4 linked regions of the Arabidopsis thaliana genome follow. The protein of the gene in region 4 interacts with the protein of the main gene of each other region in a pairwise test. Each region holds a gene or a part of one and is shown on either strand. Other genes may lie near its edges. The genes, in order: UMAMIT8, ABCC5, MHX and AtVEX1.

Region 1 (6,561 bases), on a different chromosome or scaffold from region 4:
AGATTATACTCATTGCTGTTATAGTCTCATTTCAAATGAAAGAAAAAGACAAAAAAGTTTTTAAAAAAATGTAATTGTTTGCGAGTGTGATAAGTGTCTTAATGTTTTGAATTTTCGAACCGGGACTGAATTTTGTTTATGATTGCAAGTTCAACAAACTTGACATTCATACTTAAATCTCTATTTAGTTTTACTTTAATTTCTACGTAATGGGTTAATGATAAGAACTATAAAATGATTACCATTGGTTCAATGATAGTATAGTATTCTGATTTAATTACCAATAATACAGATGATACTAATAAATGTGATAGCTTCTCCGATTCGAAAAACTTACTTATGTGTTTTGGTTATCCAAAACAAGTTGGTTTATACTTTCTAAGCAATTAGAAGTTACATAATTATTTGTCGTATTAACTATAGTAACAGTTCTTGTTTTGGTTCATACAAAACATGTGGATGTCAAAACAGTAAATATGACTACTAATAAAAAAAAACTAATACTTTTTTAACAGAGGAAAATACCATGTATTAAAAATGTTATTTCTTTGATAAAGTGTATGAAAGATGTTGCATAGTCACACAGACGTAGCAGTAGTCAAGAATCCATTAAATTGATAATATACCTTTGGTAATCATGGTTTTATTGAAAAGGTGACAAAGAATACATATGTTAACATTACCAGCAAGGATTTGAATTTGAGTTGTTGGAACTTTAATACATAGTTGAGTAAAGAAGAGGCTTACACAATGGAATCTATCGTGTTAACTACTTAGCTTTGCTTCAATCTCAATTTTCAGTAACTACGTAACTCTTCAGATGCAAACAAAAAAATCTCTGTTCAGTGTTTAATATTAGTTAACTTTTCATCCAAATAAATATATTAATTGACTATAAGAAAGAAATCGTGGAAACCTCTTGGTCTAATGGTTGACCAAAAGTTCATTAATGCTTTTACATCCAGAAGTCTAATGTTCCAGTTCCAGCTACTGCGATTTATTAGCAAATTTGCAGATTAATGGAAGCACGTATGCATGATATCTACAACGAAGTACAATTATAGTCGTTCGCCAAGATTTTATGTAGAGAAGATATTGAAGGTATCCATCAAGCGCATGGAGAAAGAGAAGAAGATATCGACATTGATGGAGGAATTGTAATCCTTCTTTTGTCCCCAACACACATGCCTGTGAAATTTTTAAAACTTGAGAGCAATACACCATTTGAAACAAAGTGATGAAAACCTTTAGGAGGACGAAACTAAGTTACCATTTAAGCCAACATCCCATCCCTTAATGACTTTACCATGACCTGCATGTAACAACAACTTCATAAGTATCACGTACCAATCACATAACTCCATCCCTTAATTGCCATATCACATAAGTATTAAAAGGTGCTTTTCCAATGGTGGAATCGAAGATCTTCCCGTTCTCTTGAAGCTTTCCGATATAGCGGACACTAACCTGCTTGGTCATCTGCTATGTAATGACAATTCTATAAATACCCTGACTTGCGTTTTTTTGTTTCTACCTTGTTTGTCATTATCTAACTCCATCTCCACACCTGACTTATACTCTGGCTCAGCTTTTCTTTGGGAATAGGAAAACAGTCTTTGGCGTGTATTTGCTTAGTTCCATTCGCATTCTCATATTAGGTAGGTTTATCTTCATCTTCTAACTCAACGGTAATTTTTATTTATATATAAATATACCTTCACATTGAACAACTTTTTACATAACATCGTTTAGGCCCTTTTTCTTCGCCCTGTATGTATGTGATGTTTTTTTTATATCCAACTATTTTAGTATCACACACGAACATATACTGTAGTCTACAGCCTACTACATGTATATCTAACCGAATTATCTGTAAAGTAAAATTGTCTTACTTCTTTAAACCTAAACTAAATTCACAAGAACATTAAGAAGAAGAAAAAAAAAAGACTTTGAACTAAAGCAAGAGAGGCTTCTGAAGATCAAACTCTGTTCTAAGCAAACTTTCTTCATCATCTTGTTTCATTTCATCTATTTCTTCACAATCCTCTTTTCCTTTAGCCCACAGAACGAAGTAGAGTCCTCCGAACATCAACGCCATTCCCGCAAAGCTAATTTGACAGAGAAAAACAAACAAGAAAGAAGATAAATGACTTCTCTTTCTGTCTAAAAGATCATACAATGAATGCGAAAAGCTGCAAAAATGTACCTTCCTAGGTTGAAACTCTCTTCCATGGTAAAAGCAGAGACAACAACACATACCACAGTTGCAATTGGACTAAAGAGAGACACAATCACTGGTCCTTTCCTCTTAATCACCCATGCATTGAAGCTTAACCCTCCTCCACTCACCAACCCTCCCTAGAAAAAAAACAAAAACATTTTCAACACATCCAAATGTTGCCAACCATATATGATTTATGACGTACCAGTATTGCGTATCCCACAAGGTGGCCGAGACCGATTACTGATGCACTTCCCATTTCCATACTTCCCTTAAGAGCATACTGCAAAGCTACTGTGGTGATCCCACCCATCAAAGATACCATCGAGAACATTGATATAGGCGCCGGAAACTCGGCTAGTATGGATGCCTAATTAGGACGATCAAAGTGATTTCACAAGCAAAGAATCAGATTAATTAGCACAACCGGATATATGATAGCTCTAGGGCTAAGAAGGGGTATAAGGTGAAACCTGAAGGACAATACTAGAGGACAAGCCGCAAATGGCAAGGAGGAGATAGAGGCAACCTAAGATCTTGTCCTTGTCCACAACGACTTCGTCAGGGACAATAGGTATAGTCTTAACCGAGCTTAAAGTAGCGGTAGTACTGTGCATTAAGCTCATAATGAGAGCTCCCATCACACACAACACTGTCCCTCCCATCTTAACTCTACTATACATACAACTTAGCTTCACTTTCTCCATCCTTAACAATTACAATTTATTCAAATAACACATTAATGAAAGCTCTAATCTTCAAACACTAAACAGATTAGATTAACACAAAAGTAAAAGATTTACCCAGCAGCCCAAGCAATGACAAAAATGAAAGCAGGGCAGAGATTAGGCATAGCTGTAGCCATTGAAGCAGAGGTGTGTTTCATTCCTTCCAAGAATAACCCCTGGAACAGAGTCACTCTGTTTCAAACACAACTTCTCTCTTAATTAATCCCTTGTTATGAATTTTTAATTCTTCTCCTTCTCTTTAACGTATAGAAGAAGCAAGGTAAGCATCTATTAATCAAAACATGCAGAAATAAATAAAAAGAGGAGTTTTTACCCAGCAAGAGCAACCAAAACTAGTTTTATCTTCAACTTGAAACTTAGACTTCTAGGCCAAAGCTTCCTACAAATACACACCACAAAAATCCAAATTTTTATTAGAAAAAGAATGTAGAATAAAGTTCGAAACAGAGATTTTGTAAATTAAAAGAAAGAAGAAGATACCTTTCAAGGAGAAAAGCGAGAGGGGTGATGAGAAGAACTGATGCAAAGGTGCATAAGATAACGATAAGAAGTGGGTCAATTCCGAGAGACAGCAACTGACTCAGTAGCTCCGAGTTTCCGGCGTAAATCACCTGAGCTCCGGCCAATCCTCCGATTATTCCTGCTTCTATTAACGTCTCTCTCTTCATCATTTTTTCAACACAAAAAAAACACGAAGAAAATAAAAAGAATAATAACGGACAAATCAGTTGGAACCCATTTGGTAACCGAACAGAAGGATTCGATTTTGTGGGGGAACTAAAAAAGCAGAGAAACACTAATTAAGTTTTTGGTTTTGTTGTTGTTGATAAATGAAAATAGAAAAGATGCTTTGTTTGTGATCTCTCTTTTTGGTAATGTGTAATGCTTGAAGTTGAAACTTTCTCTATCTTTCACTTCTTGCTTTTAAAGACATGTGTCCATTACATTGCATTGGTTTTATTATGGAGTGTCTCGCCATTATAGCTTTTTGGGGAAGCGCAGATTTTAATTTATTTTTAGTCTAAAACGGTGATTATTTTTATAACACATAGAGTCCTCAAATTTTGGTGCAATGGATTTAATATGTATGAAATAAGACAAAACAAAAATTTGAGAGCGGTTAGCTTAATTTGTTAAGAAATAAATATTTCGGTGAGTCTGATATTTCTTAAATAGAACAAATAAATAAATAAATAAAATTCGCCAAATCGGCTAGGCAAAAATTTAAGATTATTCAAATTGTCAAGATTTTTATTTGGGAAGTTGCCACTATATTAATAAAATTTGGAATATAAAACCATAGTTTTGATTGGTAAAATAACGTAATAAAAATAGCAAAATTATAAAACAAGATTCTATTTATTTAAGACTAAAGAATAATATGTTTATTTTGTCAGTAAAGTCATTTAAAAAAAGGTGGAATGATCGATCATAAATCGCCCTCACACAAATTTATGTTAAAGATGAAATTCTGTACTACAGTGAAGTTTAAAAACATGCAGAGTATGAAAAAGAAAGATAAACCAAAAAGAAAGGAGAAGAAGGAAAAAAAGACAGATGCAATAAACTCCGTCAGATTCGGGGACCTTGGCCTTTTCTCGGGGGAGTAACAAAAATATTTATCAGTGTTCTTCTTTTGTTTGTATTCTTATTTTTGGATATATAATACGACATCTTACCATCTTCTCCTTTATTCGTTTTACGTATCTGACTATCTGTTCACTCTTTACTTCCTTCTTTTTTTCTTGCATGCAAATATGGAATGTCTTCATATTTGTATTTGTCACAGTCTCACAGATAAATCATATGTGTATGCCATGTGCCTACCTACCTATAATCATTTTTATTGGTAAAAAAAGCTTCCTATTCTAATATCCTTGTTAATGCTAATGAGATGGTTTAGTGATCTGTTTTCATACCGAAATGTTTTAGTTATTTAACCCAAAACACCAAAGGATGGTTTAGTGATTCGTTTTCACACCGAAATAGTTTTATGATCAAAATATTTTCTAGGGATCAGTTTTAACTAGAAAACTAGACTAGAGTCTATAACGAATTAGTTATTTTATAATAAATGATGTGCCTATGAAAGATTTTTAATTGGAGATGTATAATATTGGAGATGTTGTGTGGAGTGTAAAATATGGTAGGTGAAGCGTAAGATAAGAAAAAATGAGGAGTGTAAGAAAGAAAAGAGCAAAAGTGGGGATGCTTACACGTCAACAATCCTCAGTCTCTTTTCCAATGACTTGTGAAGCGTGTTATCGTCTCTCTTTTCTCCCCCTCTTTTTTTCCCAACAAATATAATATGCGATCTATCTAAATATATTAAGTTAAGAGTTTAATCTTTATCCACATACATTTTTTTCTTTTGTAACATCTGTTATCCATATCATGAAAATTTAATGCGTTTAAAAGCTTAGAAACATTTCACGCTGACCAAAAAAAAGAAAAGTTCACGCTCAAAACACTTAAGACTTAGTTTTATAGACCCTAACTAGTATCAAAACCCCTTGGTGTGAAATAAAAGGCATCTTGAATATGCAGAAACTCATATTAGCTCCTAAACCGGTTCAAAACATTCTAATGACTAATGAGTTGTGCCACGTACGAACAGACAAAAGGTTACAGTCTCAAGTTCTGAAGTCTGTGAACATACATAGTCTTCTCACGTGCCCACGCGTCTACAACTACAACCGTCGCCAACTCACGTGACTTTTTACCTCTTCTTTTTTTTTTTAATTTTTTTTTAAACCACTTTTTGCTTCTTCATACTACGAATAATCATGGTAAAGCTTTATGAAAGATTATAAAAACCATAGGACAAAGAAAACAAAATTTCGAACATCTTAACCAGTTTTGTTCTAAATTATGATATTACAACAATAATTTAAATTGTTTAAACCCTTCTCAATGAAATGTCCTTCTTCTCGTGGGATTGTCCTTCGATATCTTCTCAAAAATGCTTTTTCCTTTTACCTACGCTTATATCTGCACGATAAAAGTAGAAAATACCGAGTTAAACCAACAAATTACAATTTATGTTACTGGTAAATTTCATGTTTATGATGAAATGTTTCTTACCTGGCTTTGCTCTTGAATGAGTTCTTCGACTTCGTCCGAGGTTTTGCTGCAGCCGCGGCACCGCCTCTGCCCTGTTTCTTCTCGCCCATATCACTCTTGAACAGATCTTTCATCTCTTCACCACGAGGCTGGTTTCTTGGTTTACTCCGGCTTTGTTTCTTGTCCGGCTTTGGTCTCTCCATCTTACCGGAATCAATTGCTCTCTGTTTTGCTTTCACCGCTTTTGCTCTCATGTAACCAAGATCCTTTAGTGTCAATCCCTTCTTATCTGTCTCCTGTTTTTTCTTGTCTTTCCCCTGAAAAAAAACACACATTTAAAATCAATACAATGTTTGTCATCCCGGCGAGAGAGAGAGAGAGAGAGAGAGAGAGAGAGAGAGAGAGAGAGAGAGAGTGATGTGTATCTCTGAAATACTTACTCTTGATCTTCCTCTCTTTTCGTCTCCTTCTTCGTCTTCTTCCTCTTCTTCTCCTTCGTTATCTTCTAGCATCTCTCTGGCAGCTTCT
Region 2 (9,817 bases), on a different chromosome or scaffold from region 4:
CCATTGAAGTTTTACCAAGCCAAAGAAAATTCATTTAACAATAACTTAATAATCAACCATTGGCCAAATATATGTATTTTTTTAAAAACATACTATTAAACTTAGTTAAAGCCTTGAATAGGAAAATACGACCGTTGAGAAAGGAATTAAATGCAGCAGCGTGGTTAGTGTTCGTTCACTACGTGCATTTATACACGCACGCTCAACACGCCTCGTTTTGTCATCGGGTACTACGTCACAACAAAACGACGTCGTACAGATATTGTTATATTGGGCTCTGTACAACTTATAAGCCCAGTACTGATTACACTTATAATAAGCCCAATACAGATCACACTTGAGGGATGATGACGAATGATTAGTAGTTTCTACTCTAATCTTTGTTTGTTTTTGCAGTTTATTGATAAACATGAAAACCAAAGAAACTAACTGTTCCATACAAAAAAAGTTTCTCCCAATGTTCGACAGAAGAGATTTAAACCCAAAGTTTTTTAAGCGCGGAGATTTTGGCATCCTTTCATGCTTTTTCTTTTCTTAAACCCTGTGGAAAACTCTCTCTTACTTTAGACCTTAAGCTTTTGTCACATATCAGTTCTTTTATATCCTCTTGAGAAAAGAAACCCCCTAAACTGAATTTTTAACATGGAGGATCATAATTCAGGGATTCCAGTAGATCTTGAGGAGTATTCTGTTACCAATTTCAAGAACATCGATGATTTGTCTTCTAATAGCCGTGCAGGAGTATCAAACTCTGCTACTCTACCTGCAACAAACCATAAACATAAACATTGAATTCTCCCAAAAGACGACGAGTAATATGAAGAAAGATCCATGTTTTTAATTTGTATGAGACTAACCGTCGCTGAGAACCAAAACTAGGTCACTGTCTATAACAGTTGGTATCCGGTGAGCAATGGTGCAGACCGTGCAGTCTTCAAACTCTGTTCTGATTATCTTCTGGATCAGATTGTCTGTTGCTGTGTCAACCGATGCTGTTGCTTCATCAAGAACAAGTATTTTGGCTTGTTTCAGTAATGCTCGTCCAAGTGACACAAGCTGTCTCTGCCCTACACTCCAGTTATCTCCATTTTCCAGTACTACTCGGTTTTGAGCCAAAAAAATCAGTAGAAAGAAGCGAAAAAGACCCGGGAAAAAGAGAGGACTTTTGATGTAAATAGTTACCTGGAGAGTCAAGTTTTAGGTCTTTTCCTCTAACAACGTCTCCAAGCTGGGATTTATCAAGCGCCTGTCAGCAAAGTTGGGTAAATCTCTAGAATCAAACTCCAAATCTCAGAGTTTAGTGTCTAAAACATAAACAAGATAAGAGTATCAAACAACATATTTATAGATACCTCCCAGATTTTATCATCTGAATGTTCTTCAAGTGGGTCAAGATTTGCTCGGATTGTTCCTTCAAATAATGTAGGATCTTGAGGTATAATCCCAAGGCGACTACGAAGATCATGAAGACCAATTTGAGAAATGTCAATGTTGTCAATAGTAATTTTTCCAGCAGTTGGCTCAATCAATCGAAACAAAGCTTGAATCAAAGTCGACTTTCCGCTTCCCGTTCGCCCAACAATCCCAATCTTTTTTCCACCCGGAAACACACAGCTCACCCCATGGAGTACTGTTGGAAGATTCTCAGCATAACGAACCTTCGAAAAGAACGAAGCAATAAGAAAGCAGGGAAAGGAAGTGCAGAGAGGTAATAAAAATAGTATTTTTGAATAGTACCTTAACATCAACTAGCTCAATTGTTCCCGTTGCAGGCCACGAGGAAGGCGGGCGGAAATCTTCTATAATTGCTGGGGCCTCTCCTACAATCTGACTGTACTGATAAATCCTTTCGATTGAGATTATTTTGTTTTCAAGCTTACAAAAGCTAAGTATCCATCGTGATAGACGTCCATTCAAGTTAAGTCCATATGTCACAGCAAGACCTGCCATGCCTATTACAACAGGAACATCAATATTAGAAAAACCGGCTGCTCGTTGATGCTTTTTTTGTTATAGTAACTAGAGATACTTACTTGGATCAATGGTTCCATGTGGAAAACTGACGAGTAAAACCATACAGAAAGCAAATACAAGTGTGGAAAGTAATTCCATGCGTAAACAAAGCCATTCGATAGCAGCGATACTGCAGAAGAAAGGTCGAACAAAACAATCTAGAAGATAAAGATTCCTTTTGATAAATCTTTTTTCCTGGCCAAATCCTCTTATTGTGGCAGCACCAGCAATTGATTCTCCAAAAAGATGAATTATTGGAGACTTCTGGATACTAACTATCCGAACCAATTCTCTTGAAGAAGCCATGTAATATTTCTGCATTTTATTTCAATATAAACTAAATTACGAAAACAATCTTTCACAGTTATTCAGAGGAAAAATCGAAAATAGATTTACCTGCATCCAAAAGCAAGCAACAGCTACCGGAACAACAAGAAGGAAAACTTGCCAGGTAACATTGGTCATTACAGCGACAATGCCACAGAGTTGTATTGTTGTTGAAGCAAACCCACCGAGTCTAAAAGGAATGTCAAGATCTACAACACTTTGATCAATAGAAACCTGCACATCAATAAAATCCCCAAAATCAGAAAAGTAACACAGAAACTGTGGAATTTGGTTATAATACCACATCTACATACCCGATTCAAAATTCTTCCTGCAGGAGTGGAATCAAAGAATGACATTGGCGCTCGGAACACACTTCTGAGCATATTTAAGAACAGTTTCTGTGCAGCTGCAAGACCAAAAGTTGCAACCAGAGCAGCTCGAACAAATATGAACACAGAGCTCCCGAAAGCTAAAGCCGTATAAACGATGAGAAGCAGAGTAGGATCCACTTTAGATTCGTCACCTTCAGTTTGAGGATTTGCCCAAGCCATCCACCAATTACTAGCAATCTGAAGAAATTGGAAAGCAGCTTGTGCGAGTATAATAAGAGGAATCAGAGCCCCTTTATATGCAGCACCCATGTATGACAAGTACACCTTCATGCTGACTTTTCCCTTTACTCGTTCCTCTTCTTGAACAAGCTGCTTTTTGCGGGAACGCTTAGCTTTCTTCTTCTTCTCTTTGATTGCCTTTAGATCTGAAGCAGATCCTCCCTCTTGTACTTCCTTTGCCAAAGTCTCGATGTCATTTTCAAAAACATCAGACTTTGGATTATGCAAGACCAAACTATCGCGAATAGGATTTTCATCAGAGTCTTCTGAGGAGGGACTTGGGATGTCCATTGCCTCGATTGCTTCATGGTGGGCAGACACTAAGGCCTTAAAATCAGTACCTGCTTGCAGCAGATCATCATATTTACCCGATTGAATAATCCTGCCTTCCTTCAGAACCTTTGAAACAACACAAATAAATATTTCAGAGCTTATCATAACGGAAACAGTTTGGAAACTCCTTCAACAATTTTACCTTTCTGCAACAATAGAGATAAGTTCATCACAGGCTGGTAAGCTAAACACCTAAAAGAGACCCTTTAGCAATTCTAAAAGGACCAACAGTAGCCAGAATTAATGTGTAGTAAAACCGAGAAAAAAGAGTTTCTTACCAATATTAGATCAGCTGCAGGGAGAAACTCAACTTGATGCGTTACAAAAACCACAGTTTTCTCAGCCAATGCAGATAGAATATAATCCTGTATAGCCATTAATAACCGTGTTACGCAAACGTTCAAACTCAAAATATGAAAACATGACTTGAATAGCTTCTTACCCTAAACAAATCAGAGCCAGTGTGTGCATCAAGAGCACTAAAAGGGTCGTCTAGTAAATAAATGTCAGCATCTTGATATAATGCCCTTGCAAGTTGTACACGCTGTTTCTGACCTCCGCTGAGATTTATACCTCTCTCCCCGATAATAGTTTGGTCCCCATGTGAGAAAAGCTCTATATCTTTCTTTAGGGAACATGCTTGTATCACATTCTTGTACTTTGTTTTCTCCATTGGACTGCCAAATAGAATGTTTTCTTCAATGTTACCAGACTGAATCCAAGCCGATTGAGACACATAACCAGTAGTACCACATATTCTAACCTATATAACAATTATCAGCAGTTGGATCAATGATAGCTAAGTGAATATAAGAAAAGAAAAGAAAAAATAGTGAAGCAATTGAGACAAACACCCCAAAACATTAACTTACTTCGCCAGAGATTTTTGGGATTTCCCCTAGGATGCAAGAGATAAAACTTGATTTTCCAGAGCCAACTGTGCCACAGACAGCCACACGCATACCCTTCTCCACTTTCATCTGAATCCCAGATAATGTCGGCCTTGAAGAAAAAGGGTCCCAACAAAACACACCATCTTTAATCTCTATGGCTATATTCGAAAGTCCCCGTGGAATAACAACAGTTGCATCTTCTTGAAGTTCTTCCTCCTGCAAGAACCCAGAAATCCTATCAAGAGAAACCTTTGTCTGAGCCATCATTGAAACCAGATCAGGAAAGTTCCGAAGTGGCTCCTGAAGAATTCTGAATGTCGCCAGAGCAGAAAGAACACCTCCAGCGGTAAGTTGAGTGCCTAGAAATATCGAAGTAGCGAATGTAACTGCGGCGACAAAAATGGGGGAACTCCAAAAGATAAAAGTAACAAAAGCCTGAGAATATAAGGCTTTGCGAAGCCAACCATACTCCTCTTCCCTCATTTCTTCCAATCTCACTCTATAACGATCTTCCCATGCCTGCAATTTCAGAACTCTCATGTTCCTAAGACACTCTGAGGTTTTCCTCATTCTTTCATCTTTCGCAGTCATCAACTTATCTTGATAGTCTTCCTGGACCTTAGCGAGTGGAATCGTGACAAGAATCGAGATTATTGTAGCAACCAATGTAGCTACAGCAGCTATGCCCACGCTTTTATATAGGATTGCAAGAGCAAGAACTATTTGCATCGGAAGCATCCAAATATCATGAAGATACCATGAGTAATCTCCTATGCGCTGGACATCGACTGCCATGTAGTTTACAATTTCACCGCTCGTGTGGTTCTGCTTGGCTATACTTGAAAGTTTGAGACCTTTTCGGTATACCATTGCTGTAAGAGCTGATCTAACATGCATCCCTAGGATATCAACACCCATATACCACTGGCGGGTGGTGACTGTCTCTATAAGCTTGGACGTAAAGAATATCCCAGCGAGTACGTATCCTTCATGAGGGAAAATCTCCTTCCCTCCAAGATAATCAACAAAGTAGCTGATCAAGTAAGGACCGACATAGGACACAAGAGTATTCAACCCAGCAAATACGGCATTGCAAGCAGCTTCTTTCCAAAATGATTTCATAATTGCACGAGCTAAAGAAGGAGGCTTTGAAGGATTCTCGGACTTGCATCTCTTCCAATTCGACTTCAAGACCTTGTAACTTGATTTGGCTCTATCTCTTGGTGCAAGAAGCGGTATATCCTTAAGCTCAAGCGGTCTTTTTGAACCAGCCGAGAGAAGTGGATCCAACCATGAAAGCGTAATAAGGCTAACTAGCCCAGCAGTACTATATGGAGTAACTTTAAGACAAGCTGCCTCTTCTTCAACAAGCAAAGGCTCTTGAAGATCAGAGGAGCTTCTGGTAACTTGAATACCAGAAACGCCTCTCCAGGCCAGAAAGCAGAGAAACCCAAGAGCAGGTGTAACAGCTAAATTGGCGACAACATGAGAAGAACATCTGCTCCAACCTTCAATGGCTAGCCTTCTTCCATCGACATACATAGTACAGAGGCAAATCGAAAACGCCAGGAACCACCATATCCTCACCAAGAAGGGTAGCTTCTCTGAAGACTTGTATTTCAAATGAAGAACTAAGAAGCTAAGGACAAACCAAGCTAAACTCTGAGAAGCTGGAAAGCAAAGAACAAACCAGTCACTGACTTCTCTTCTAACCTTAACCCCATCATATACTAACACCAAAACTTGGACGCCTAACACATATAAGCAACAGAGCAAAGACAGATTAAACCCAAACCCAACACTAACATGGTTAACCTCTCTTTCCAAGCTAAGATTAGAAGCTGAAACCGTATCGTCCTTAGAGAGCCTATCTCTGCCTCTTCTCACGCAGACGAGAATCTGCCTCGCGGAGACAGCAAATAGAAAGACAAGAAAGAGTAGGAGGTTGATGATGACCGAACATAGTTCCAGTAGTGGCAAATGCTCTCGAAAGATCAACGAGATCTCAATAAAATCCATGATCGGGAAAGATTTGTGATAGAGAGTTTGTTTAAAATCAACAACCGGCGGATTGTTCGAGATAGAACAAGCATCTCACCACATCCCAAAGCTCGTAGCTGCAGAAGAAGAAAAAAAACAAAGGAGAGAGAGGCGATGAATCTTATATTTCAAAGTGGAATTGACACATTGCAAATCAAAACAAAATGAGTTTCTCTGCATGACCCAACACGTAGAAGCGATCACAGAGATACAAAAATACAAACAACAAACAAACAAACAAACAAACAAAAAGGAAACTTTGGCTCTCACCAGCTCTTAATAGATCAAAATCGATATTTCCCAGAGAAGAAGATAGAGAATGAGAAGAAACAAATCAGCTGAAACCAGACGTCACTTGGGTTCTTGAGAGCAATCGAGAAGAGAGATCTCTCTTCTCTTTAATTAAAATCAACAAGAAAAAAATTAACAATTTCTTCTGTTTCTCTCTAATCCTTCATTCGCCAACGAAAAAAAATGCAAAATTTATTGGTTGGATCGATTAAAGATTGTGCAAAGTAGTGGAAGAAGATTGGGAATTTAATAAAGGAGCTTCCTTTGCCTAAAATAAAATAAAAAATAAAGGTGGTTCCTTTGGGCTTTTTGGATGCTTTCTCGTGGACTTACTGTTTTGCTTAGTGTGTGTGTTAATAATAAAGCCGTAAGCTCTTTGTGCGCTCACGATGCTTGACGTCGATGCGTCAATGTGTCTGTATGTGATCTGACTTTTTTGGTGATTTCATTTTTCAATTGTCTTTACTCTTTATGATCAAATTATTGTATTATTTGACCATATATGTTATCAATAAAAGCACTTATCATTAAACTTAACCATGGTAAGCAATGAATCATATTCCGATTCTTTTACGTTTTTATTCTCTCGATTCGTTTTATACGAAATCGCCAATCATAACTCAAACGAAAGAAATTACCATTTTGCTAATCTAAGCTGTGTCTAATTAATTGTGGGATACAATGGAGGAGGAACCTTATACGGTCCATGGAATATTCTACACGTGACGTGATGAGTATTATGTATTGTCTACAAGGCTACAAATATTACTAAAATAAAACTGTATAGGTGTCAGTATATTACAAAATACTATATAATCACTGGTTTATCAATTCCTATGTATACACATTGAGCTTTTTAAAATTCATTTGTAGAAAGTGGAGACATACACGTTATCGTTTCAATACATATATATAAAAGAAAGAAAACCAATCTATCATCTCTGCACCAAAACAATGAGACAAATGTGTCAACTTGATTAAAAGATATAAAAGAATAGCGTAAGAGTATGAAATTAATGACTTTATATATAGTCCAAAGATCCAAACTTATACTCACCACCAAATTGTTCGTATGTACTAATACTATAGTATAATTACATGCACTCTTGCTCTCAAGTGAGAGAGTGTGAGACTATTCAGATAAGCAACTATATAAGACCAACAAAAGATGATTTTTTTTTAATTCTTGCCCGTATGTGTTTATTTGTTTGTTTGTTTGGACAATATGCGGATGACGACTTACTACACATGCCATTCATGCAAGGTAATGCGTCTTACGTGGCATACCATTTTCTAATACATGTATGATTAAATGTCAATTATTGCTGACTATGCAGTAAAAAATGTGTACGTTAATATGTCCTTTGATTAATATATTACATTTGGTTATACACGGTACGTCAACACATTTCTAGTTCGCAATAGGGAATTCTACGTTCTTCCACATATAGTATTTCAAATATATATATAGACTGAATCTTCCTTCTTCCAATCAACTTATATTCTCACGAATAATAGAAATTAATTTCAACTATATATGATGATGTAACTTGGAAGAATTAAGGAGATGATGTAACAATCTAGAAGCCTTGATAGTGTATTATAATGTTATACATAAATAATGACAATTGTAATATAGTTGTTAATGCTGCGTAGTTTTTGTCATTTGCGTTTGTTTGGTATAGTAATGGCTTTGTTCAAACTTTTTTTGTACCACTTTCGGTCCATGCCAGCTCACTTTCCATTATCTTTCGTTTGCATAAATACAAATTTCAAAAAGGTAGCTTTTCTTAGATGAAAAAAAAACAGTATATATGTTGCTCAGTTCATGAACACTGTATATGAACCAAATGTCGCTTACGTATGCAAATTGTTCAATTGAGGAGGACAAACAACAACAAAAAAGATAGTGGAACATGCGATCTTCTTTAAGTTCAAACCGTGTGTAACGTGGATAATGATAGTGGTGCGTGGTCCTTTAACAAAAGAACTAATCATAGTGTAATATACCTAACACATTTCTCTCACATGTTATCTATTTGTTTTAGGTGTTGACATATGACCTAAAAGAAGCCTCTGTATTGTTGCTTAAACGCAGGCACTGCCTGGAATGTTAACAGGGCTAATTGCGAGTTATAAATATTCAGTTGTTGTAAGTCTTATCAAACTATTATTGTCTATTGATGATTTAACAAATACCAAGCCAAACACAATTTAATTCCTATCGCACTATTTTGGTAAGGTGATTGGTGATTGGTGAATGTGAATTCAATACTAAATGATGTTACAGATTGTACGGGCCAAGTTAGGCCCATTGAATGGCCCACCACCTTAAATTCAACTATGGTACTAAGAAAAGTTCTATCACTTGTCGTTTTATTTCTCACCGACCTTTTTCTTACATTGTCCCCCGCTCTCACCTTTCCTTTAGACTCCGGTGTCTCAGTCTCACTGTCACTGGAATTTATTATTCGACTCAGAAATTTCACTTTAAAAAAAAAAATCTCATGTGTGTTAAATTTGGGCCCATAATACTCTCTCATATACACACAATCGAGGCTCATGATAGCTATTGAGATCAAACCGGGACAATAGTATTAAACCGGTATTCGGTTAACGAGAGGAAATAACCGGTATCTGTCCCTCTCCCTCCAAAGAACTCGAAGCTTCTTCTTCTTCTTCTTCTCCTGCTTCTGTCGTCGTCTAGGTTAATCGAATATTTCACTATTTGCTTTCTATCTTTCTGCTGCGAATCAATGGCGCTATGGATGGACGCTGGAGCGACGCCGACCACGGAGAAGGAAAAGGCTGATCTTGAAGCTATTTCTGCTCTCAAAGAATCCACCGCCATCGAATTCAAAGTACCTCTCTCTTCTCTGGCTCGTTCGATTTTGATGTTTGATGTAGTATCGATTTCATTCCTTTGCTGTTTAAACACAGGAAGAGGGCAATGAATGTGTAAGGAAAGGGAAAAAGCATTACTCTGAGGCGATTGATTGTTACACGAAAGCCATTAGTCAGGGAGTTCTAAGTGATTCAGAGACCTCTATTTTGTTCTCGAATCGATCCCATGTTAATCTACTCTTAGGCAACTATCGGCGTGCCCTCACCGATGCTGAGGAATCAATGAGGTTATCTCCTCATAACGTTAAGGTAGTAAGCTAAACTTTCTCTTTGATTTCGTTGTACCGTTTTGGTTGGTTTCTCTGATGGGTTTCAATGCTTCAAAAGGCGGTGTATCGAGCTGCTAAGGCATCCATGTCATTGGATTTGCTGAACGAGGCAAAGTCTTATTGTGAAAAGGGA
Region 3 (7,631 bases), on a different chromosome or scaffold from region 4:
AGTGTCTCACGACGAGGTTAAAGCGGAAGGGAAGATAGAGACCGCGATGAAGGAGGAAGGCGTTGAAGTCAAGTATTTCTGGGGAAGCACTCTCTATCATTTGGATGATTTGCCCTTCAAAATTGAAGACTTGCCGTCAAATTACGGAGCTTTCAAGGATAAAGTCCAGAAATTGGAGATTAGGAAGACTATCGCAGCGCTTGATCAATTGAAAAGCTTGCCCTCTCGAGGAGACGTTGAGCTTGGCGATATTCCTTCTCTCCTGGATCTTGGCATTAGCCCCACTCCTAGGACTAGCCAGGTTTGAGTTCTTCATCTTTGCTTAGCTTGATTGATTCCTTTATCCATCTAGGTTTAGGCATTTAGAAAAGGTGGAAACTTGTGGGACTTATAATTCAAACTCTGCCAATTGGTTCCATTTCTATAGGAGAAGAGCTACTTACCCATAGAGTGATAGGGATAAGTACTATCAAGTGTTAATAGTAGTAGTGCTGTTTGAAGGTCCATGGATTCTTCTTAGGATCAATGAACGTTTCTCTTTAGGTCCAATATTCGTCTGCGGCTCTTACTGTCTTACACCTTCTCTTAGGAGTTAACATTTTGTTCTGCTCAGGAGGGGAAACCGACAATGGTTGGAGGAGAGACAGAGGCGTTGACTAGACTAAAGAGCTTTGCCGCGGATTGTCAGGCTCGGTTGAGCAAGGGAAACCAGAAAGGAGGCAACAACAGTGTCTTTGGTGCAAACTTCTCTTGCAAGATATCACCTTGGTTAGCCATGGGAAGCATCTCTCCTCGTTCCATGTTCGATGAGCTGAAGAAAACAATCTCCGCATCAACCACCTCCACAACTCCAAGGTAATGTCTCAGAAACGCAAAACACTTCAGGAAACTCTGGTGAACATAGTAAGTGTATGTGTCTAATTATCATTCTTTGAAATGATTTTCTCAGGAACGGACCGGGAGATACAGGACTCAACTGGTTAATGTATGAGTTGCTATGGAGGGATTTCTTCAGGTGAGCTCTTACTTTCTTAACTTGCCCCCTAGTAGAAATGTAGAATTTGTATTTTGTCTGATTCTCTCTTTGATGTGTGTTTAAACTTGGAACAGGTTTATAACCAAGAAATACAGCTCAGCGAAGACGCAGGTCGAGGCTGGTCCGGCTACAGCCTGTACCGGTGCCTTTGCTTAAACATTTGAAAACTTTCAGGTGACCGGAAAAGTTAGAAGCGACCTGTTTCTTTGCCCTACTCTGGTGTATGGTGGATTAATTTGCTATCCGGACAGGACTTTACTGCTCTCTTTTGAAACTTGAGTGTCAGGAGAATAAAATCTAAGCTTCTTTTTTTGGCTCAATCAAGTTGTCCGTTCCCTGTTCTAAACATTTCGGATACTCATTCCATAAAAAGTCTCTACAATTTGAGACGCTCTCCTTTGTGGTTAAGACTTGAGAATGTATCTTAGAAAATAACCGAAGTAGTTGTGTCTATGAATATTAAATTCAGGAATATTAAGATGTCACTAATATCAGAAGCAAGCAGCAACTAGAATATGCACTTCGTGGTAAATGGGCATTAGAAATTCTACAACACTTATTAAAGAACCGTACTAAACACTAGTTACTTGGATGAAAGTTACATATAAAAGTTTATATTAATCGACTAAGATTATTTGCTTGACTTTAGAGAAAGTTTGCATATATGTACCACAAATTGGTAACACTGCAAATAAAAAAACAAAAAAAACTGCAGGATAATGAAAATGTACTCCATATATGCACCTCCTAACTAGAGATGAAGCCTCCAAAATCATAGTCAATATGATTTATATTTGCAACACATATTTAGCCAACTGCCTTTGAACTTTGATAATTATATAAAACCCCCTTAACAAGTAAGAAAAACAAAAACTGAGACATGTGCAAGTAAGCTAAGACTTTTTCTTCTACTCATGGGGTTTTTCCTTTTGTTGCTTCTTCTATATGACGCCTGAAACTTTCAAAGAAGAAAGAACAACGAAGACGACCCAAAGCATCATGAAATAGGCAGAAGTAAGCCAAGCCCATAGCCTTGGACCTCCAAGCTCAGCTCCTATAATCAACCTTCTCAACACAAGCACCACGATACATCCCACTGATGTCGCAAAGAATATCAGAAGCGAAAAGCTTAATCCTTTAGCGTTTTCTATGTATAAAGGCTCTCTGTATGCAAAGTAGTTGTAGACTGTGTTTATCAGCCACGGAACTCCAATCCCCACATAGATGTTCACCGAGTTACTGCATAATTTATCACCAAAAAGATCATGAAAAGATCTTCAATGTTTGTAAAGGGTTTTGAGATTTTTACCTGCAGGTGATGTTTGCAATAGCTGAATCTGCGGTTAGTTGTCGCTCTGCAGCGATTTTACTTGCTACTAAGTCTGGCCATGAAGTTCCACTTGCGAGTGCTGTGAATGCTATCACATATGGGTTTATTCCTGCAAGATGAAAAGAGTTTCTAATGTTTTAGAGCTCAAATGTTTAATCTTATAACTTCAGTTTTTGAAAGCGGTGAGGGTGTGTACCAGTGACACAGCTTATAAGGTCAGTAAATCTTGTGACAACAAAGGCTACTCCACTGATGAAGAGGAGAGAGCAGATGAAAGCGATCCAACCGTGAGCAATGTTGCAGGGGGGCACAAATGCAAAAAGCAGTTTCCAAGGGGCGAGGAGTAAATGCCAGAAAGATTTCGCGATTCGAAGATAAATGCTATCCACTTTCTTTGATTCTGATGTTTCCAACTGTTTGATTACGAATAGGAAGAGAAACAAGTTAAGAAAGATGTGTTGATAATGATCAAAAGCCCAAAATAGGATATAGAAGAATCTAGAAAACACTTGGTAAGTTGAAGATTTTTACCGTTATTGCATCCACGAATTGATGTTTCCAAATGTCAAAAACAGTAGAATTCTTCGCCTTACCCTTCTTAGTCGCAGAATCGGGTGGAGTATCTGCCACAGTATGATAAGTGATCCCTGCAAAAGTGTTTGTTACAGGGAAAGTTTGATTTATAACAATATACTACCAGAGATAAATATGGGAATCACATAGATTTGGAAATAAGCAAATACGCTAAAACTGATCTTATATCAATAGAATAGACAGCCTAATCATACTTAGTACCTGTATCATTGTTAGCTGAATGAATAGAGAAGATATCAACAATGTTTCTGCTTCCCGATTCAACAGCATCTTGAGCAGCATCCGAATACACATCATGAACATCATTGTCATTGTCATCTTTGGATGTATCAATCTCCTCTGGAACCCACTCCTCTGGCCTATCACCTCTTGACCTGCAAGTATCAAATACAAACACAAAGATACAATCTTTAGTAGAAATCCATTTTGAAGGAACTAATATTATTGTCTGGAAAAGAAACCCACATTGGTAAAGACAAGTAAGGCCATCGCTTGTCTTGGGCGTACGCATGAACTAGAAGCAATCCGTATTGCAGTACTGTCAATAATGCCTCCACAAGTGTAATTACGTTTGGTGACCACACCTGTGAGACGTGAAAAGAAACAGATTTTTAGACCTTATCAGTATAGAGTATAGACTCAACAGAATCTGTTTAAACCGCTTTTCACAGTTACCTCGAGGATTATGTATAGCCAGATGTAAGCCCAAAAAGACCATACGAGCTCAACTAGCCAAACACCTAAGTCGGATATCTTTTTCAGTTCTCCAGCTTTTGGCACAACGACACAAACAGCGTGGATGGGGAAAAGATCAAATGCAGCTGAGCCAACAAGTGTTCCAGGACCAAGACCTATATGACAAAACATGATATAAGAATTCATGAACTTAAAAGTAAAAACTAGAGTTTTGGAAGGAAGAAAGGAACAACCACCAGACCTCCAGCATACCGCTCCCCCATATTCCGTATTGCATCGATGGTAGCCAAAGAAATCTGAGGGAAGCTAGTTCCAAACGCCAACAAACTGATGTCTGCAATAGTAAAGTTCCAAACTTTCTTGTATGTGATGACTTCAGCTTTAGTAATGGGATCAATTGTAACCACTTTACGGGAATGTTTCACGACATTCTCCATAGACTTGAAGAACCGTGCAGTGATGGCTGACAACCCAATAAAGCAGTAGGCAAGACCGAGAAAATATAACACACCCCTCAAACCATCTGACAAAGTGTTTTCTCCGGGGAATAGAAAGAAGTTTTCACATCTTAAATGCCCAAGAACCTTAGAAGATTCTTGCAACTCCTGGGTTTGATTAAGAATTGAGGCCATTGTAACTTATTCAAACCCCACCTCCTAATAAGTCAACTGAACACTTGTCCTCACTGGGGAAAAGAATCTGGCACACCAAAAAGAAGCTTACAACTTTTAGAAGAAACTGATGAAACCTGTAGCCTGATCGATCGAACAGTATCAAGAGGATGCGAAACAAACGGAACATGCAAAAAGATTTCTTTCCAGAGAATCTGTAACACAAACTAAACATTGCAAAGGATCCAATGGCATGTAACCGAAATCCAATCTATAACCAATGCTAATAACAATTGCATGTTCCACTGTATGCGTAATCAAAATCCAGAGGTAACCAGATCAAAAGATTATAACTTTCATCATGGGTTCAGTAAAACAAGTTGGGTTCTTTTCACAAAACCATAATTTTCAACGAACAAATCTCAACAAAAATAGCTAAAAAATAAGAAAAGAACAGATGAAACAGAGTGAGCCACGCGACGAAATTGATCAATGCGGACGTACCGGAGAATATCTCGGTGAGCGGCATTCACAATACGCCGATCACGGGAGAGATTTTCCGACAAACGGAAATCGAGAGGAGCTGATTGGAATCGGTCAAGCGTTGGATATTGCGGTGGAGACTTGGGAGCCATTTATACACATCTCTCTAATCTCTGCATGACACACTTCAATTATTGTATCGAAACGAGGATTCAAGCGTACATCGACCGACACGTGATCTTATCTAATTGGATGATTTACTTGACTAACTAGGATTAATTAATCTCGCCTTTCTTTGGTAAGGTTTAAGAATATGAGACCTCAATTGCAAGTTTTTTTTATATCTTTTTACTCCCTGAATTTTGTTTCATTTCATCCTTATAAGCATTAGATTTTAATTTCAACCTGAGTAATATTAGTTTTATCATCTCCTCGAGTTTAGATATTATCATAAACATATATCTTACTAAAAACCTGACCTGACTAATTTATTTTCTTTATAAAAGATAAACATGATAAATATGAAGTGTGAACGCATTATCAAATCAGAATTAGTGGATATATATGTATTTTGTTTTTTTCTGATTAAAAAAATTATTGAGATATATACAATTGAACTATGAGGACAAAAAATATATATATATATATATATCTTATTATATAAAGTATGGTTTTCAAAATTGACTTGGCACAGTGTCAAGTCAAACGATTAGATGTTTACATGTGTCATTCAAAATTTAACTTTTTTATTCTTTAAAAAAATAGAAAATCTTAAAAAGTAAACAAATTTACATATACTAATTTATATGTCTATATATTTATAAACAATTAACATTTATTCAACAAAAGCAAAATTAACAAATTTGTCTTTAACTCATGTAATCATAAGTGAAAATAGAACACTTTGAGAAAAATAGCTTAGCTTATAGGATTTAACTTTTCAATTATTTTCATTTATTAATTTTAACTCATTTAATATTAATTTGCATGATGTAAAATTAACTTACGAGATTACGTGGGTGATTGGTTTGTCTGTAACTGTAGATTTACTGCTGTAGAATTTTTGTTGTAGGTGTGATGACTGTAGCTGTAAGTTTTATTGCTGTAGAAATTAGACTGTAGGTTTTATTAATATAATTATTACTTAAAGAAATTGGGTAGAAATAAGATTTTGGTTGTATGTATTTTTAAACAAAAAAATATTATCGGGTCGGGTTCGGTTTGGGTTCGGGTTCGGGTTCGAGTTATTTATATATTGAAATATCAAATTTTGTGTGCAAATCTATTAAATTACTTGAAATTTTCAAAAATTCCCAAAACAACATGAGTAGTTTTGCTTGAATATATCTAAAAATACACAAAAATAACTAAAATATCCAAAAAAATTCTAATATTTTCTATATATAAGTATAAATATAACTAATATATACTTATATTTGAGATATGTTTGCATACCTATTCGGGTTTGGGTTTGAGTTTTTCGGGTTTTAAAGTTTATATCCGTTCGAGTATTTGAAAATTTCGGGTACACCCGCCTAAATAGGCGGACCTTATCTAGTATATATATACATTTGAACTATATTGTTTACTTTTTAGTTGATTTAGGCTATGTATGACATTGACATAAATCTACCTGTTATTTATCACGTGTAATTCGTGTAAAGTGTAAACTAGAAAGTTCAAATACGTATTTGTTTTTGTTCTGTTATATAGGATTGTCATAGTTGTAAATCTACAATTTATTACAACATGAATAAGTACACAAGCAATGTAATTGGATTTAATTGCTAAACTCTTTACATGGTCAATCTAAATTTGATAAGAAATACGTCACATATTACTAAGACTGATAGTTTTTTTGTTGTCACCAATTATTTTTGTTAAATTGACGAAAACAATTCCAAAAACTCAAATGTACAAAATCATACAGTCTCACAAACATCTCATAGAGAAAGATATAAATCTCCCATATGGGAACGATAACACGAGGTCGAAATACTATTCGTAAAACTAAAACGCCTTAGTTATAAATCGTTAGTTGTAACCGCGGTCGAGAATACATACAGATCCACGAAACTACTACTACACATGCTGCTGAATTGGAATTTGGAAAAGACCATCTTCTTTAGGAAGAGCTCACCCAATGAGTGACAAAGGTGTCGGTGGCTTGTTTTCTACCCATATGTATACATCAAATGGTAGTTTCATTAACGTTTGGTTTTGAGAAAAGTAAGACTTTGGCTAGTAGCTAGGTTCGTATATAATAAACTCTTTTGAGAAAGTTCATCACTGGTGGAAAATGTTAAACCGGTTTTTTCTCATTTTTTCCGCCATGTTAACCACCGGTTTAAAAAGACCGTAACACATTGAAAGATTAATAAGGGTATATTTGTAATTACGGTTTGCTGGCAATTTTTAATTATTATTTTAATTAGAGAAAATAGAGAAGCCCTATCAATGTACATGGTATATATATAAAAGGCAAAACCCTAGAAAACGATACTCTTCGACTCAGCCGTCCTTTCGCAGAAACCATTTGGAGTTGGAGCTTTGGACGACGACAATGGTATCATCTCTCTTCCTTCCATCTTCATTTCGTTTCATTTGGGATCTGTTAGTTGTTTGCTTTCATAGTAGAATCATCGAATTAGATCCTTCACGATAGAGTTAGTGTTTCCTGGATGCATTCTCGCTTGAAGATGAACACACATGGGTTTCGATTTCCTCTCGGTGGTAACACCATCATTGCTTATCTGCTTTGGATTTAGCTTTTGATAGATTTGGTAGTTGATATAGCTTATGAATCCATCTAGAAATTTGCGTAGAGAGCAATGTCACAAATGTTCTGTGGTTACTTTATCAATCTAATCACGCCACGATT
Region 4 (6,029 bases):
ACTAAAGAGTAAGAAGACTAATGGACGATTTTACCTGCGACTAATTCCATTGATGGCGGCGATGATTTCAGCAGCCTGATAAGCTCTCTGTGTTATGGAAGGCCAGAGCCAACAGTTTCGGTCACAAGCTCCCATTGCTTTTAACTGTAACGCAGCTCTCAGAGTCTGCTTCTTACCTTTCTCTGATAATCCGCTATCTACCGATGTTTTGGCAACCGGGTTTGTGTTGATTATCCCTAAGCTTTCGTAATCTGATTCCCCAGCTCTCACAAGGTAATAACTTGATCCAAGAAAAAACAACAACCAAAAACACATTGTGTATTATTAGCTCCATTTTCTAAGATAACCAGGCTAAATAACTCCGGAAACGAATCAAGAACAAGAATCAAAATGTTAAAAGTCAGAGATTCACTCTTAACAGTTCAATGTGAAGAATTTGGAATCTCACTAATCTACTAAAGCTTTACAAGATCCTTTAAACTTAGTTCCAATCAAAAGGACGAAGATACGTATACATTGATGCACATCTGGTTGTATGCACAGAAACTCAAAACTAGGGTTTTGAAAAAGTAAATTACCGATTAGAGAGCCGGAGAGGCGGCATTTGAAAGAGACCGCGTGCGTTAGCTGGTGCGGCGATGGAGACGGAGAGTGATGGTGTGGCAATACATACGGAGAGAGTTTTGAAAAGGTCTCGGCGGGTAATATGCGGCGAGGAAAGTAAATTCAGAGGAATTTGGTAGGTTTCCGGCGACGGAGGAGGATGTAAGTGTGAGGCGGTGGTGACCGCCGGTGATGATGATAACATAATTCAATCGTCATCTCAAACGGTATCTCTGGTCCTCCGTGTTTTAAGGTTACAAAACCACAATTGTGAATCGCACATTCCGGTTTAGATTATGGGTTCGTTTTTAAAATCGAATCAGCTAAACCGGTAACTTTCTCGGAAATATTCTTAACCGGTCAGGACCAAAAAAAAAACCTAAAACAAGAGAGAAACTCTGTTTATTACTCTGCTCTTAAGAGGACAAATTTGTTTCTTTCCTTACAGTTTCCAAAAAAGAAAATGTTATAAAAGTAATCTAATAAACTTCGATTAAAACTAAAATTGTAACAACGTACATAGATTCAACTTGCGAAAGTTACAATCATTTCCAAAAAAAAAAACTGAAAACCCATTTCTTCATACACAAGAAACTTCATAACTTAAGGGTTCCACTTGTTCATTTTTTTTCTACATAGGCTTACACAAAATAATAGTAATAAGAACTTCACCTCACTTCTGATTCTATCTTAACCTATCGATGAAGCACCGTAGACGATGAAATAGCTGAAACTATCAAGCCTGGCCAAGTTCGATTCCAGCATTCGAATAGCGCTTTTCTTTATCTTCATCGTCATCGTTCCAGTTAGTTGTTTTATAGTAAGTTATGTATATTATAAGCTGGATTATTCCTGATAGCGATCCAAGACCATTTGGAATCTGTTTTCATGCATGGAAGATAATTAGTCCTTTTTGAGATGTAGGGATTTGAGTTCCAAACAATAAAGATATATATGAGGGTTTACCAAAATATAAGGGTCAAATTTAAGACATGCATAAATGACCCAAACGACACCGTTCATGAAGTTGGCTAATGATAGGAAGAACGGCATGTATTTCACGCTCTTTGTCTTTATCACAAGTTTCTGTTCCACATTATAACTAAACTCATTAAATGGAAATTCACGAGATAAAGAGAACAAAAGAAAAAAGTTGATAGTGTAGTATCCAATTTTTGCATTTCCGTGATTAGTTTAGAAAGAAGAGGCATCATACCATGACGGTGAGAGGAGCAGCATACATGATGACGTTGAAAACAATGCACAAGATCCCAATAAGCATTGATCTCTGCTTTGTTGTATGCAAAAAATACATTGTGCAGAAGATCACCACCGCCATGAATATTACCTCGATAACCATAGCTATTGTGATCTTTCTCTGTACACATATATATATATCATAACTTCACATATCAAAATCTATATCGATCTACATTTGAAGTAACAAACTAAAACAAACATCAACCACTAATTCACTAATTTTCAATTGGTTTAAAGGCTATCAAACCTATGTCTGAAAAGTTTATATAAATTGAATAATTTAGAATGCATATACATATTTTTATCATTCGTGTTGAAATTAGAGGTTTTAAAGGCTTACGCGGACAGGGGAGGTAGCGAAGACAAAGAAGATGGTGACGTAAACGAGTTCCATGAAAAGACCAGTTCCATTAATGGTGATGACGAGGAGACTGTCGGGCTGGACGAAAGGAAGTCCGTAAAATGTCCACATCATGCAGTTTAAAACCGTAGCTACGTATGGATCTGGCTTAAACTCGGAGACCGATTTCATCTTCCATATCTTCACCATCGTTGGTCTGCACAATTTTCACATATGTCATTGCATGCAACAAAACAAAAAAAGATTTAATCATCATGTGTGCTTACATTGGAGCGCAGAACAAGCCGAAAGAAATCACGTTTCCTAAACATATAACAGACAAACAAAGACATGAGCAAATGTTTTTGTTGTTGATTGAATTAAACTTTATGTTTGAGTAAATTGTGGAGGACTTACCAACGATTCCGACGATCGTCCGGGCGGTGTGGGGGTCCGTCATTTTTCTTTGTTTCTAAAGAAGAATTCTTTATCTTCTACAGATTTTATCAAAGAACTAATTTATATTTTATAAAAATAAAAGAAGAAGAGAAACAAAATATGTTGATGATTTCGATTCTTCTTTTCGATGATTCTTGTTTATAATTTTTTTCTTTAGTACTGCGTTTCTTTTTTGTTTGTTTCTGATTTGTGATGTGAGTTTTGTTTGTTTGATGAAATAGCTTTTTTTTTTTTGGTGTGGTTTCTAGGTTCTGTTTTTGGTTTTTTGATATTTGGATTATTTTTGGTTTCTGCTTTATGAACAGAGAAAAAAGAAAAAGTGGATTTTAATAGTGAGTCTGTGAATCAGCAGAATCTGGGTAGAGTAACAAACGCATGACACGTGGTTTCAAATTTGAGCCATGAAGCCGTTGACTCCGCTCGTACCCCATGCATGAGAAACACCCGGCTCTTCACTCACATTAATACCTCTGTCTCTCTCTCTCTCTCTCTTTCTCTTTCTCAAACATAATTACATTTACTATTACTACATCTTCATTATGTATAAAGAGTTTGTTGTCTCATATTCATGTCATAGTAAATGTTGTGTAGAGCATCTTGTATAGTATATACAATAATACAAAGCAAGTGAATATGTGCTGTAACCAAAAACTTTGTTAATAGCAACTTGTATTGATGAATAAAGAGAAGAGATTTTAGTTTTACTCTCTTTTTAGGTTTACTATGTAAACACTTTGCTATATATGAATCACTTAATATTCCTTTCTCATCAAGCTACGAAACTGCAAACGAATTGAATCAAGATGAAGAGAAACAGAACACACAAGCCTCAGGTTTCAGTGTGAGGCGCATCAATCGAAAATACTAAATTAATCTCTCATTGTTTCTTAATGTTTTCCCTTTAAATGTAGGTCGGTTAAGACTTGAGATCTAAAACCTAATGGGACATGAAACTGGGCTGCTTAGCTTATAAACTCTTTTGTATTGCCAATATATAGAAAATATCCAAAAAAACAAATGTCATAAACCCCCAAAAAATGTCAAAAACCAAAAATATATATGTGTTTTTCTTCGTTCAAGTTTAATGAAATAGAAAACTGACACCATGAAGAGAGGACGCCAAGAGAAGAAGACCTCACGATCTCCAAAACGACGACAACAACGTCAGAACGAAATCTCCGAGAGAGAAAATTCAAACGGTATACATATCCCTTTCGATGTAATAACCGATATACTCTCGAGACTCCCTGTTAAGTCACTTGTGAGGTTCCAATGTGTATCGAAGCTGTGGTCATCTCGTATCACCCTCTTGATCATGACTCGGTCATTATTCTCGCCCTCTACTTATCCTACTAATGATATATCATTCATATACCCAGACAAAGACAGTAATTATACATTAAACCATGGGCGAAGTTGGGATTTTAAGTATCAATAATTTTCGAGGACTCTTCTGTTGTTGGTCAAGCTCGATCTATAAACATACCAATAGGAAAACGATTTTATTACCGGAGGTAAAACACGATAGATGGAGCAACTCGTGTGATGGATTGTTCGGATATGATCCAGTTGAGAAACAAGTTTTCACATTAGTGGGAGGTCCAATGAAGCAGCAATGGAGGAGCCTTGACATCCAAGGCATTTGGAATCACTCTCCAGAAGCTAGGAGTAGTGGTTTATGTATCAAAGAGTTTATCTATTACATAGCACATGTAGAAAGCTGGGATGATCCCGAATTCTATGAGCTAGTGAGGTTCGACGTTAGACACGAAAGCTTTGATCGTATTCAGATGCCCATAACTCTGCAGATGAATCAGCAGCTCAGTGAAGTGAGTTTCGATGAATTGACTTTGGTAAACTACCAAGGAAAATTAGGATGCATACGTTACACCAAAGCTAGTGCAGAGATGTGGATTATGGAAGATCATATTGAGCAACAAGAATGGTCTAAGATGATGATATTTGAGAAATTAGGTATTGCATCGCTGGTGTCAGTCCTAATGGTGAGATTGTGATAATGCCAAAGACAGTGACATCTGCTCAATCTTTGTACCCCTCGTACTATGATCCGAAATGTTAGTTTGTTGTACCCGCCGGATCACATTTGTTCAACTCGTTCCCTTAGTGAATAGTAGTTTTTATAATAAATATCAATTTTGTTTTATCAAGTGTATTCCTAAAAACATTGTTAGGAAAGTAACTATCTTATAACGGATTCTAGCTCAAGATATTTATTTTTTCTAAGACTCGTTTTCACCAGCCTAAGAAATTGTTTAACACTTTTTATGATTCTCAATCGTGTTGATCGATAATTGAGTTTCTAAGGTTTTAATATTTACAGCCATGATTCGTAAAAGTGTCAAGTGTGCATATAATAACATAGAAAAAATAACAATTTCTTAATTTATATTACAAGTGTCAAGTGTGCATATAATAAATAGGACCAATCATAATCCTTTACAGCTAAAACTTGAATCAAGTTATATTATCATCACGAGTCTTTTGACCCAAGAAAAAACTTCTCTGAGTTTCGGCCCATGGAACTTTCGCAGTCGGACCCAACCCGAGATCCTGATACCCGGTACGATCAACGTTGCTGTTGTTTCCCCAGCTTCCGCCGATCAAGAAGCTCCACCGCCGTTGGTTACTCCTCCTGGGGACGAATTCGAACCGTCGATGACAGTAATCACAGCGGCGACCACGGCGACGAGCCACGTTGGTGGATCCGAGCATCCTTGAAGATCCGAGAGTGGTCAGAAATCGTTGCTGGTCCACGGTGGAAGACTTTCATTCGTCGATTCAATCGCGATCCACGACGCGGCCGCGATTGGGACGCAAGCGAGAAGTTTCAATACGATCCTTTGAGTTACTCTTTGAACTTCGATGACGACGACGAGGAGGATGAATACGTCGGACTAGGTGGATTACGAAGCTTCTCGACCCGATTCGCTTCTGTCCCGGTTTACTCAGGTAAAGCTCCGGCGATTTCGCCGACGTCGTTGTCTGCGTTGACGCCGCGTAATGAGATCATTGAAAGTTAGTGGGCGCGTGTGAGAAACGCGTTTGCGTTTCTGGCGGCGGGGAAAAGGCTGTCAAAATGGTTGACTGGTTTGGTTTACATCGTTTTTGGAGTCTGTCGCGTTTTCTTATTTAATCATTCTGTTTATATAATCAACTTTGAATTAATTTTATTATTTTCCCAGTTTAATTAATTTATTTATCAACCAAATTTTATGTTTCTTGAAAGAGAAGCAATATTTTGTTTCTTTTTTGAGGGGATATTGAACTTGTTGTGGCTAATATAATATAATTTTATGTAAATTAGCTGTTTAGCATATGTGGAAGTAATGATTTAGTTAATCATGGT

Evidence for each region.
Region 1: the proteins of AtVEX1 (region 4) and UMAMIT8 interact in a protein complementation assay, tested with the Arabidopsis thaliana proteins (one large-scale study listed by BioGRID).
Region 2: the proteins of AtVEX1 (region 4) and ABCC5 interact in a protein complementation assay, tested with the Arabidopsis thaliana proteins (one large-scale study listed by BioGRID).
Region 3: the proteins of AtVEX1 (region 4) and MHX interact in a protein complementation assay, tested with the Arabidopsis thaliana proteins (one large-scale study listed by BioGRID).

What each region holds. Positions count from the first base shown.
Region 1 is NC_003075.7:9,356,231-9,362,791, forward strand, and holds UMAMIT8 (nodulin MtN21 /EamA-like transporter family protein), read right to left. Parts: upstream 4,010-6,561; 5' UTR 3,642-4,009; coding exon 3,451-3,641; intron 3,350-3,450; coding exon 3,284-3,349; intron 3,242-3,283; exon of another isoform or gene 3,142-3,241; coding exon 3,025-3,141; intron 2,930-3,024; coding exon 2,695-2,929; intron 2,592-2,694; coding exon 2,427-2,591; coding exon of another isoform or gene 2,382-2,426; exon of another isoform or gene 2,359-2,381; coding exon 2,207-2,358; intron 2,109-2,206; coding exon 1,955-2,108; 3' UTR 1,676-1,954; downstream 1-1,675. Other genes in the region: AT4G16630 (DEA(D/H)-box RNA helicase family protein), read right to left, coding at 5,946-5,961, 6,055-6,350, 6,474-6,561.
Region 2 is NC_003070.9:1,064,198-1,074,014, forward strand, and holds ABCC5 (multidrug resistance-associated protein 5), read right to left. Parts: upstream 6,884-9,817; 5' UTR 6,491-6,883; intron 6,298-6,490; 5' UTR 6,200-6,297; coding exon 4,160-6,199; intron 4,051-4,159; coding exon 3,730-4,050; intron 3,653-3,729; coding exon 3,566-3,652; intron 3,354-3,565; coding exon 2,655-3,353; intron 2,575-2,654; coding exon 2,410-2,574; intron 2,329-2,409; coding exon 2,034-2,328; intron 1,953-2,033; coding exon 1,738-1,952; intron 1,659-1,737; coding exon 1,353-1,658; intron 1,247-1,352; coding exon 1,183-1,246; intron 1,098-1,182; coding exon 858-1,097; intron 764-857; coding exon 651-763; 3' UTR 67-650; downstream 1-66. Other genes in the region: TPR2 (Tetratricopeptide repeat (TPR)-like superfamily protein), read left to right, coding at 9,268-9,372, 9,452-9,664, 9,743-9,817. UniProt on the Arabidopsis thaliana protein: Pump for glutathione S-conjugates. Involved in regulation of K(+) and Na(+) cell content.
Region 3 is NC_003071.7:19,522,541-19,530,171, forward strand, and holds MHX (magnesium/proton exchanger), read right to left. Parts: upstream 5,041-7,631; 5' UTR 4,772-5,040; intron 4,356-4,771; 5' UTR 4,289-4,355; coding exon 3,898-4,288; intron 3,812-3,897; coding exon 3,636-3,811; intron 3,545-3,635; coding exon 3,426-3,544; intron 3,335-3,425; coding exon 3,162-3,334; intron 3,014-3,161; coding exon 2,898-3,013; intron 2,780-2,897; coding exon 2,563-2,779; intron 2,476-2,562; coding exon 2,346-2,475; intron 2,276-2,345; coding exon 1,978-2,275; 3' UTR 1,577-1,977; downstream 1-1,576. Other genes in the region: PHR2 (photolyase/blue-light receptor 2), read left to right, coding at 1-301, 614-855, 950-1,015, 1,111-1,192; AT2G47610 (Ribosomal protein L7Ae/L30e/S12e/Gadd45 family protein), read left to right, coding at 7,314-7,316.
Region 4 is NC_003076.8:25,228,865-25,234,893, forward strand, and holds AtVEX1 (Nodulin MtN3 family protein), read right to left. Parts: upstream 2,981-6,029; 5' UTR 2,664-2,980; coding exon 2,621-2,663; intron 2,528-2,620; coding exon 2,491-2,527; intron 2,421-2,490; coding exon 2,204-2,420; intron 1,982-2,203; coding exon 1,820-1,981; intron 1,804-1,819; exon of another isoform or gene 1,704-1,803; intron 1,690-1,703; coding exon 1,570-1,689; coding exon of another isoform or gene 1,507-1,569; exon of another isoform or gene 1,484-1,506; coding exon 1,340-1,483; 3' UTR 1,074-1,339; downstream 1-1,073. Other genes in the region: AT5G62840 (Phosphoglycerate mutase family protein), read right to left, coding at 35-280, 579-808; AT5G62860 (F-box associated ubiquitination effector family protein), read left to right, coding at 3,768-3,923, 4,177-4,677; AT5G62865 (uncharacterized protein), read left to right, coding at 5,200-5,703. UniProt on the Arabidopsis thaliana protein: Mediates both low-affinity uptake and efflux of sugar across the plasma membrane. May play roles in nurturing the male gametophyte.